Cricetulus griseus: one gene and its partner. The protein of the gene in region 2 interacts with the protein of the main gene of each other region in a biochemical or structural test. Links are inferred from orthologs where the notes say so. Each region holds a gene or a part of one and is shown on either strand. Other genes may lie near its edges.

What was found.
Region 1: the proteins of Pias2 (region 2) and Sumo3 form a complex in vitro, tested with the Homo sapiens proteins (2 studies listed by BioGRID, with this or other methods). The link is inferred for Cricetulus griseus from reciprocal best matches to the Homo sapiens genes PIAS2 and SUMO3.

The regions. Positions count from the first base shown.
Region 1 is NW_023276806.1:261,206,244-261,210,483, forward strand, and holds the start of Sumo3 (small ubiquitin-related modifier 3), read right to left. Parts: upstream 2,966-4,240; 5' UTR 2,832-2,965; coding exon 2,811-2,831; intron 1-2,810. UniProt on the Homo sapiens protein: Ubiquitin-like protein which can be covalently attached to target lysines either as a monomer or as a lysine-linked polymer. Does not seem to be involved in protein degradation and may function as an antagonist of ubiquitin in the degradation process.
Region 2 is NC_048595.1:162,885,661-162,889,891, forward strand, and holds the start of Pias2 (E3 SUMO-protein ligase PIAS2), read right to left. Parts: upstream 2,810-4,231; 5' UTR 2,757-2,809; coding exon 2,649-2,756; intron 2,291-2,648; exon of another isoform or gene 2,165-2,290; coding exon of another isoform or gene 2,162-2,164; intron 1-2,161. UniProt on the Homo sapiens protein: Functions as an E3-type small ubiquitin-like modifier (SUMO) ligase, stabilizing the interaction between UBE2I and the substrate, and as a SUMO-tethering factor.

The sequences.
Region 1 (4,240 bases), on a different chromosome or scaffold from region 2:
AAACAAACAAACAAACAAGACTTATGAGACTGGTAAACACATTTGCATGGTTTTATAAGACTGGTAAGAAAAGCCACATAAAACCAAGAGTGGAGAACCAGAGGAACACTGGGGGACTCTGAGGGATCCGCTGGAGTCAGCAGGGTGAAAACTGTAGTTCCCTGGACCCTCTGGTCTTAGACTGTGCTCTTCTGTGGCTGGGTGTGGCTCCAAGGAATGAGTATGCTCAGCCTGCACAGGCCCTGGGTCCCTATTGAACAGCACTAGTTTTTATACATCGTGGTACACACGAGAGCTGGACAAAGGCGAAGTCAGTACTTGTCAGTTGCTGGAAACACACTTTGAACAGAGCCAACTTTGGGGCTGTTCGATCTGGGAAGGAACTACTTTTGTTGTTCAGGGCATGAGTGACTCACACAGTATATCAAAAGCCCATAGGAGCTTTTTAACCTTTATTATTTTTGAATGTGTCTGACTATTTTGTGTATCACACGCAGGCAGTGCCCATGGAGGCCAGAAGAGGGCGTCAGATGCTCTAGGACTGCAGTTAACAGATGCTTGTTAGCAGTCACCTGGGTGCTGGGAACTGAACTGTGTCCTCTCAAAGAGCAGCCAGTGCTTCTAACCCCTGAGCCATCTCTCCAGCCTTGGGAACCGTTTACTTTTTAAGGACATAGATCCCTTGGTCCATCTGCAGACCGCATTTTCTCCCTGTCCTCACACCAGTTTTTTCCCACAGCTTAACTGAGTAACTCCCTGCTTCCCTTGGATGGCCTCTGCCACTTTTTTATTCCTGGAGAAAGGGGCAGAACAGCATCAGGAAGCAACCTGCTCTGAGCTTGGTACAAAAGGCCTTGGGTAGAACAGTGTCTGGAAAGGAGCCTGCCCTGTGCTGGATCCTAAAAGCCTTGGCTAAGAGCTTTTTCTAGCCTGAGAAACAGTTCCCAGGTGAGAGGGTCCTGCAGGGACCTGAGAGAACAAACACCTGAGCACCCTCCTTCCATTCCCTCCTGTGAGAGAATTCCCAGCATTCAGTCACAGGACACCAGTGACACAGTAGCACTTCTCAGAGAGCTTGGCTACTGCTCCAAACTGTGGGCTCCACTGTGAGAAAAAGTGAACAACTCCAGGCCCCCAAGATGCACTGACTTCTATCAGGAAAAAAAAAAAAAAAATGCTGTGTTCAAATCAGACACAGGAACCAGGGCCTAAACAGAAATGCCAGCAGAGGTGAAAGGGCCCAAGGCACGCTCCCCTCTAACAGCAGGATAGCTGGCACAGTCCAGTAGTTCTCTGATTAGCAAGCAAACTCAGAGGTTAAGAAAAATGAGGCTTGCCAGGCATTGGTGGCCCACGCCTTTAATCCCAGTACTGGGAAGGCAGAGGTAGGCGGATCTCTGTGAGTTCGAGGCCAGCCTGATCTCCAGAGCGAGTGCCAGGATAGGCTCCAAAGCTACACAGAGAAACCCTGTCTCGAAAAAACAAACAAACAAAAAAAAAAAAAAGAAAGAAAGAAAGAAAAATGAGGCTTAGCACGATGACTTCGAATACCTGTAACCCCAGCACTCCTGGGTATAGGTAAAGACCAGCTAGCGTGACACAGGGAGACCCTGTCTCAAAACAAAACAAAGGCTGGCCAGGTGTGGTGGCACACTCCATTAATCACAGCACTCAGAAAGCAGAGGCCAGAGGATCTGTGAGTTCAAGGCTAGCCTGATCTACATAGAGACCTTGCCTTTAAAAAGGGGGTGGGGGGATAGCTCACTGGCAGAGCACCTGCCTAGTGTACAAAAGCTCCTGGGTTGGATCACCAGTGCTGCAAAATATAAATAAAAGTATAAACCCCTGCCTCCACTAACCTAGAACGGCAGGTGTGGTCTTTCCAGTACCACACCCGGCACTCACTTCCTGCCTAACCTCATAAAGAGGAAACCAACTACAAAACAAAGTGTTTACTCTTAGTCCAGTACAAACAGGTGCTCTCATTCAACGTCCCTGTTGTCCCTGTTGGTGTAGGCAGCACCCAAGGCTGAGTTGGAATTAAAAGTCAGAGCCCTGCAGCCAAGATGATGCTGGGATCAACTGGTGAATTCACAGCGGGGTACCATAGCATTCCAGAGGTTTGCCCTGCTCCTGGGGTCTCTCATCCGAACCAAGAGAGCGGTCATCTCTGGGCCCAGGGCGGTGAACACAGAATGCCAGGCTCCCAGCAGGACAGGTCGAGGGTGGAAAAACTTTTAATTGAGATTGGGCCATGCGGGTCTTCCCACGCACTAACTGCCGAGACTAAGTAAGGGGGACCGCAATGGGGGGGTGGGAGAGCACCGGACCCGGCCAACAGTGAGAAGCTCGGAGCGGCCAGCTTGGCTCCTGCACCGCTGCAGCTCTCGGAGCGCCCACGGGGGCCTCACGCGTGGGCCTCTGCACACGGCACAAGAGGGATGGCCACGTCGAGGAGGGAGGACTGAGAGGAAGACTGGATAACCGAGAGCCAGCACCCCGCGGGACGTCCAAGTTCCGGGTTCTCGGGCCGCGGGGCGTGGCTAGACTCGGGGCGTAACTACATCGGGGGGCGGAGCTACACCGGGGGCGGAGCCCTGGCGTGGCGGGAGGCAGACCGGGGGCGGGGCCAAGGGGAGGGGCGGGCCGGGGCGAAGCTCGGGCGGGGTGCGACGCCGGTGGGGGAGGGGCGCGCGCGGCCGTGGCGGGGGAGGGGCGCGGAGGCCGGAGCGCGGGCCCGCGGGCCCCGGTCTGCGCGCGGCCCGGCCTGCGTCCTGCGGACTCTGCAGCGCCTTGCGTCCCAGGCTTACCTTGGGCTTCTCTTCCGACATGGTTGCGCGACGGCGGCGGCGGCGGGAAGCGCAAGGAGAACCGGTGGCACTGGAGCGGGCGAGTCACGCTCTCTGCCCCGCCGCTCTCCCGCCGCAACTGTCGCGGGGCCGCGCTTTATCCCCAAATCCCGGCGCGCCGGTTGGCCGCGCGGAGTCACGTGGTGGCGCGCGTGCACGAGGCGCGTGCCCCGCGCCTCGGGCGCGCGCTGGGCCGGCCGCGATCCCGGACGGTTGCAAATGCGTCACGGGGCGGGTCAGGCACCTGGGCGCGCGCAGAGCCCCGGGGACGCGCGGCCCAAGGTCCTGGGCACGGAGACCCCGGATGTGGGGACAAGACTGCCAAGGGGCCCGCCAAGGGCGCGGGCACTGGGAGGACGGGGAGGACCGGGGGCGCCTGTGTGCTGAGACAGCAGCCGGAGAATGCTTTGGCCCAACCGACCCAGGTGTCTTCAAGCAACCACTTTGCCATCCGCGTTTGGCCACTTTTTCTGTCCGCAGGCTGCCTTTGGGGAAGGGACGGGGAAGAAAATCAGGGCCATCGGGCCACCCCCCCCCTTCAGGAAGACCAACAAGAGGTTACCAGGCATGCTTTAAGGACCACACACATACTCCTGGGACAAGTCTGTGGCCTTGAGTTTGAATGTCACAGGGGAGCTCATGTCTGGAAAAGGCATCCTTTGAGGACACGGAGGATGGCCTCTGTTGGCCCAGAGAGCCAGCACATACCCCTGGTTCATCTTTTCCCGCCTGACTTTCCAGGTGGGTGGATCAGCCTCCAGAAGGGCATTCCCAAGATGGCTCCAGGAAGTACCTGTCCCTTCCCCTGGATTCTCTGTGTCTACCCTTCTCCCTCCTCACATAGTCCCAAAGTAACCACCAGACCACTGGGGTGGACGATAGTGGCACAAGAGGCCTCCATTTTGGTCTTCCATTTGCTCGTTTTCTGGGATGCTGCTGTAGACACTAAAAGCCCATTTTACACAGGAGAACACTAAGATACCTCGAGGTTTAATAACATGTCCAAGGAGCCAACTTGGTAATTACCGCAGGACAAGTGAAGCTGGGAGCACTCGCAGGAGGTTGAGCAGCATGCTGGTTGACCAGTCAGGGAGCACAAACTGGGAGCTTGAGCAGCATGCTGGTTGACCAGTCAGGGGCACAAACTGGGAGCTTGAGCAGCATGCTGGTAAAACAGGGAGCACTCACAGGAGCTTGAACAGCATGCTGGTTGACCAGTCAGGGAGCACTCACAGGAGCTTGAGCAGCATGCTAGTAGAGCAGTCAGGGAGCACTGACTGGGAGCTTGAGCAGCATGCTGGTTGACCAGTCAGGGGCACTAACTGGGAGCTTGAGCGGCATGCTGGTAGAACAGTCAGGGAGCACTAACTGGGAGCTTGAGCAACATGCTG
Region 2 (4,231 bases):
CACAGGAGTGGCCTAAGACCATCAGAAACATAGATATTTACAAACCATAACAGTAGGAAAATTACAGTTATAAAGTAGCAATAAAAATAATTTTATGATTGGATGTTACCACAACATGAGGAACTATATTAAAAGGGTCACAGTATTAGGAAGGTTAAGAACCACTGTTTTAGTTACTGCTCTAGCCTATGCCTGTCTGCTTTCCACAATGATGATAAGGGACTAACCCTTTCAAACTGAAAGCAAGCCCTAATTAAATGTTTTCTAAGAGCTGCCTTGGTCATGGTGGTTCTTCACAGAACTAGAACAATAGAAACTAATACAATCTTATAACAAGTTAATTTACATCTAGCTAGTTAATTCACAAACTAGTTGGCCATCCCTTCAATTATAACAAAGATGTTATAAGTGAGCATCTAGGGAACCAAATAATTTCCCCAGCACGTGAAAGCTTCTTAAGCAAGCCACAGTATTATAATCATCATGACTACAATCTATGTTTCATTTTCCTCACAGAATTACAAGAATAACAATATATATATGAAATATTTGAACCAGAATTTGGTGTGTATAGGGACATATTAAAATGAGTATGTGCCATCATCATCACTTTTTGCACTGAGAAGTAGGATAACATGTGTCTGCCCTAAGCAGCTAAGGCAAAAGATAGTGGATAATCTTCCAGCATCTACTCTGAATCATGGTCCTAAATAGTCTTATCAATAAAAACCTGGAGTCAGATATCTTGGTAAATGTGGAAAGATCAGAGATACAAAGAACAGCCACCCACACTTCTTACCTCACCCAGTCCTCAAACCAAAAGGGCTGAGATCCCACCTATGTCCAGCCTTATCACTTTCTGTCTCCTGTTTGTACAGACCTCCAGACCTCTATGGTTAATTAGTGGCTAACTCCACCCTCTGACCTCCAGGCAAGCTTTGTCAGAACAGAAACAAAATATCACACAACACCTCTCAGCCTGCAACCTTCTTTCCTGTCCTCCAAAAACCTTCATAGGCCAAGTCTCCTGTGGTCATCTACTGCCTCAGATGAGCCAAGGACATTACCTTGTACCAAGCACAAGAAGATGCAAACACCACTGTGTCTCAGGTGAAGCTTATCCAGAAAACAAAATGGAGAAAAGCAAAAAGGGATACTTTGGTTTCCACTGCTTTCAAGGTCCATCTGAGTACTAATGCCCTTTTCCACCCTATATGATTAAGGTTAGTTTAGCTCTTCACTTTAACCAGTGACACTTCTAAAAGTCTAATACAGCCGGGCCTTTAATCCCAGCAAGCGGACCTCTATGAGTTCGAAGCCAGCCTGGTCTACAGAGAGAGTTCCAGGACAGACTCCAAAGCTACACAGAGCAATGTTGTCTTGAAAAACACAAACAAAAAACGGAAAACAACAACAAGAAGTCTAATACAAGAAACCCTAGTGAGGTTTCCACCAACCAAACTTAAGAAAACAAAGACTACTTTCCCTGGAAGAGGAAATATACATGTTACTCTACAAAAGTTATGGTAATATTGCAGGGGAAAAAAACTCCAGTGTTCAGTTTCCTATAGTGAGGCACAGTTGCGTCAGGAGCACCACTAAACACAGGACAAGTAAGAAGGTTCAAATATGCTTTACAATCATGGTTCTCTGTATAAACTGATATGGGATACAACATGTATGATATACTTTTTACTGTGAAAATCACTCATTTCAGAAACAAGAGGGTACTGTGAAATTCATTCTTTTGTTGGTGTCCAACCACACAACATCCTTTTCCCACACAATAATGGTCTTACAAAGCAGAACAGTTTTACCAGTTCAAACAGCTGATTGCAATTCATTTAACTTCAAATCCAGACTTATACGTCTCTACTTTAAAACACAATTAAAAATCAGGGTTTCTGTCTGTAACCATCCCACATTCGTCGTCAGTAATTCGGGGTTCAACTCGACTCATTTATCACACCTGGTTTGGTTAGGGATAAGACTTCTGTGAATCTGGTGGAGGAAAAGAATCTTTTTCGGTGTAACCACCTCTCTTTTAGACCCCGACTACAATAAAGTTATGACCTTGCTCTCGTGCTAAGAAACAGTTTTTCCTCAAGAGCTAAAGGGGTGCACAAACTACATGACAACACGGACTTTGAAGATCTCTTACCATGGTTACAAACCAAGTATCTGGATATGAGGCCGACTACGGAAGGCGGTGTTCCCAAAAGGGCGCGCTTCTCCCCACGCTGAGGAAGCACTGGTGGGAGGAAGGGGCCTGATCTCCTGACAGACCTGCCTAGACCACAGCGGGGAGAGGAAAATTCCCAAACGCAACTTAACGTCGCCGGAGGCAGTCTTCACCCAGCGAACGGCGGCCACGAGAGTCCGGGGTCGCCGCCGCCGAGTCAGCCCACCGGCCCTCGGGGGCCCCGGCCCTCCAGGTGTGCGGCCCACCACCCCGGGCCAACCGCCCGCCCTCGCCCGCCCTCGCCCGCCCTCGCCCCGCCCTCGCCCGCTCCGTCCCTCCCCGCGCGCAGGCGCCGAGGATGCGGCTCCGCCAACCGGGTCGCACGCCCCGGCGCCGCCCGCGCTGCTCCCGCCTCCCCTCTCCCCCGCCAGCGGCCTCCGCTCCCCCCCCCCCCCGCGACGCTCACCCTCAACTCCTCGAAATCCGCCATTTTATTCCCGCCCGCGGGCGCCTCAGCCGTCGCCGCTCCTCCACCCGCTGCGCCAACGACACCGCCGCCCGCCTCCTGCAACATCCTGCACTGGGGCGCCGCTCTAGACGCGCGGCCGCGCGCCGCGCGCCGAACCGCCACCGCCACCGGGCCCGTCCACGTGACCTTGCGCGGGAGGGCCCCGCCCCCGGCGCGCGCGCAGGCCCCGCCCCTCGCGGCGCCCCAGCCCACCACGCGCTCTCGGCCTTCCGCCCGAGCGCCCCCCACGCGCTTCCGGTGGTGGCCTGTCCCTGCTGAGTCTCGCCGGCCCGCGTTTCCCGGCCCCACCCCCTCTCCCTTTTCCCTACTCGGGGACGCTGGCCGCTACCGAGGCTCGTAGGAGCGCGGTCGTAACTGCCGCGTTCTTCCCGGACTTGCAGGAAGGCCTTGGCTGAGGAAGTGGCGGGGAAAAGAGAGGTGACGGACTCACCGAGGCATTCGGGAAGATTTCGCAGTGCTCTTCCCAAGGTGGCTGAGAACACAGGAAGCAGCCTCAGTGCCATCCCCAGAGTAGCTATGGTGGGATAATCCAAGTATGGGTTATGGGTAAACCGTTGTTCCAAGCTAATGGTGCTCACAAATAACAATTTGGGGGGGGGGGGTTGTCTGTCTGTTTTTGAGACAGGTTGGAACTCAGGTAGACCATGCTGGTTTCTAACTCGGTAGTAAAGGAGTGTGCCACCACACCCAGCTGCATAAGAGCTTTTTGTTTATGTCTTTAAAGTATTCACCTTGACTGGTTTTTAACTGACCTTGAAGCAAATGTCAATGGCCTGGACAACAAAGTTGAAAGAATTGTGGGGTGAGGTTAGGAGAAAAGGGAAGTTAAGAGTGCCCCAAGAGAACCCTGGTGAAGTTGAAAGAATGGGGGTTGAAAGAAAGAAACGGCTGGCTACGTGTCTGCGCTTGGGAGGCTGAAGCCAGAGGATCAGGAATTGTTACCAATTCCTGGAGGCTAGCCTGGAGTAAATGTGAGACTGAAAAAAAAAAAAAGTGAGTGACGATGCATTTACACATTTACCATTGCTCCTACCTAAGACTTCTTTCCGTTTGCATTCATTCTGGGAGCATTGCACTTTTGAGTTTAAAAGTGTTGGATCCATGGACAAAGAATTCCTACTCTGTACATTCTTGAGTCTTGCCCATTTGAATTCAAATGCCTTCCTAAAGTTAGGTCTTAGCTCACTGGTAAGCTCTTGTCTAGACAATGGTAGGCCCTGACCTCCTGTCTCCAGCACAGGAAAACAAAACAAAAAACTAAGCCCTAGTATGTCTCTTCTTAAGTCCTTACCCAAGAGCTGACTGAAAGCCTAAACTGAGTAAGGTATTTGTATGTAATAAATAACTGAGCTTCAGTGAGTGGAATGTGTACAGGTTCAAAACCAAAAAGCTGCATCTGTTTCTTAGACACAGCACTTCTATTGAAGTGACACCATGACCAAGGCAACTCTTATAAAAGAAAGCATTTAATTAGGAACTTGCTTACAGTTTCAGAGGTTTAGTCCATTATCATCATGGTA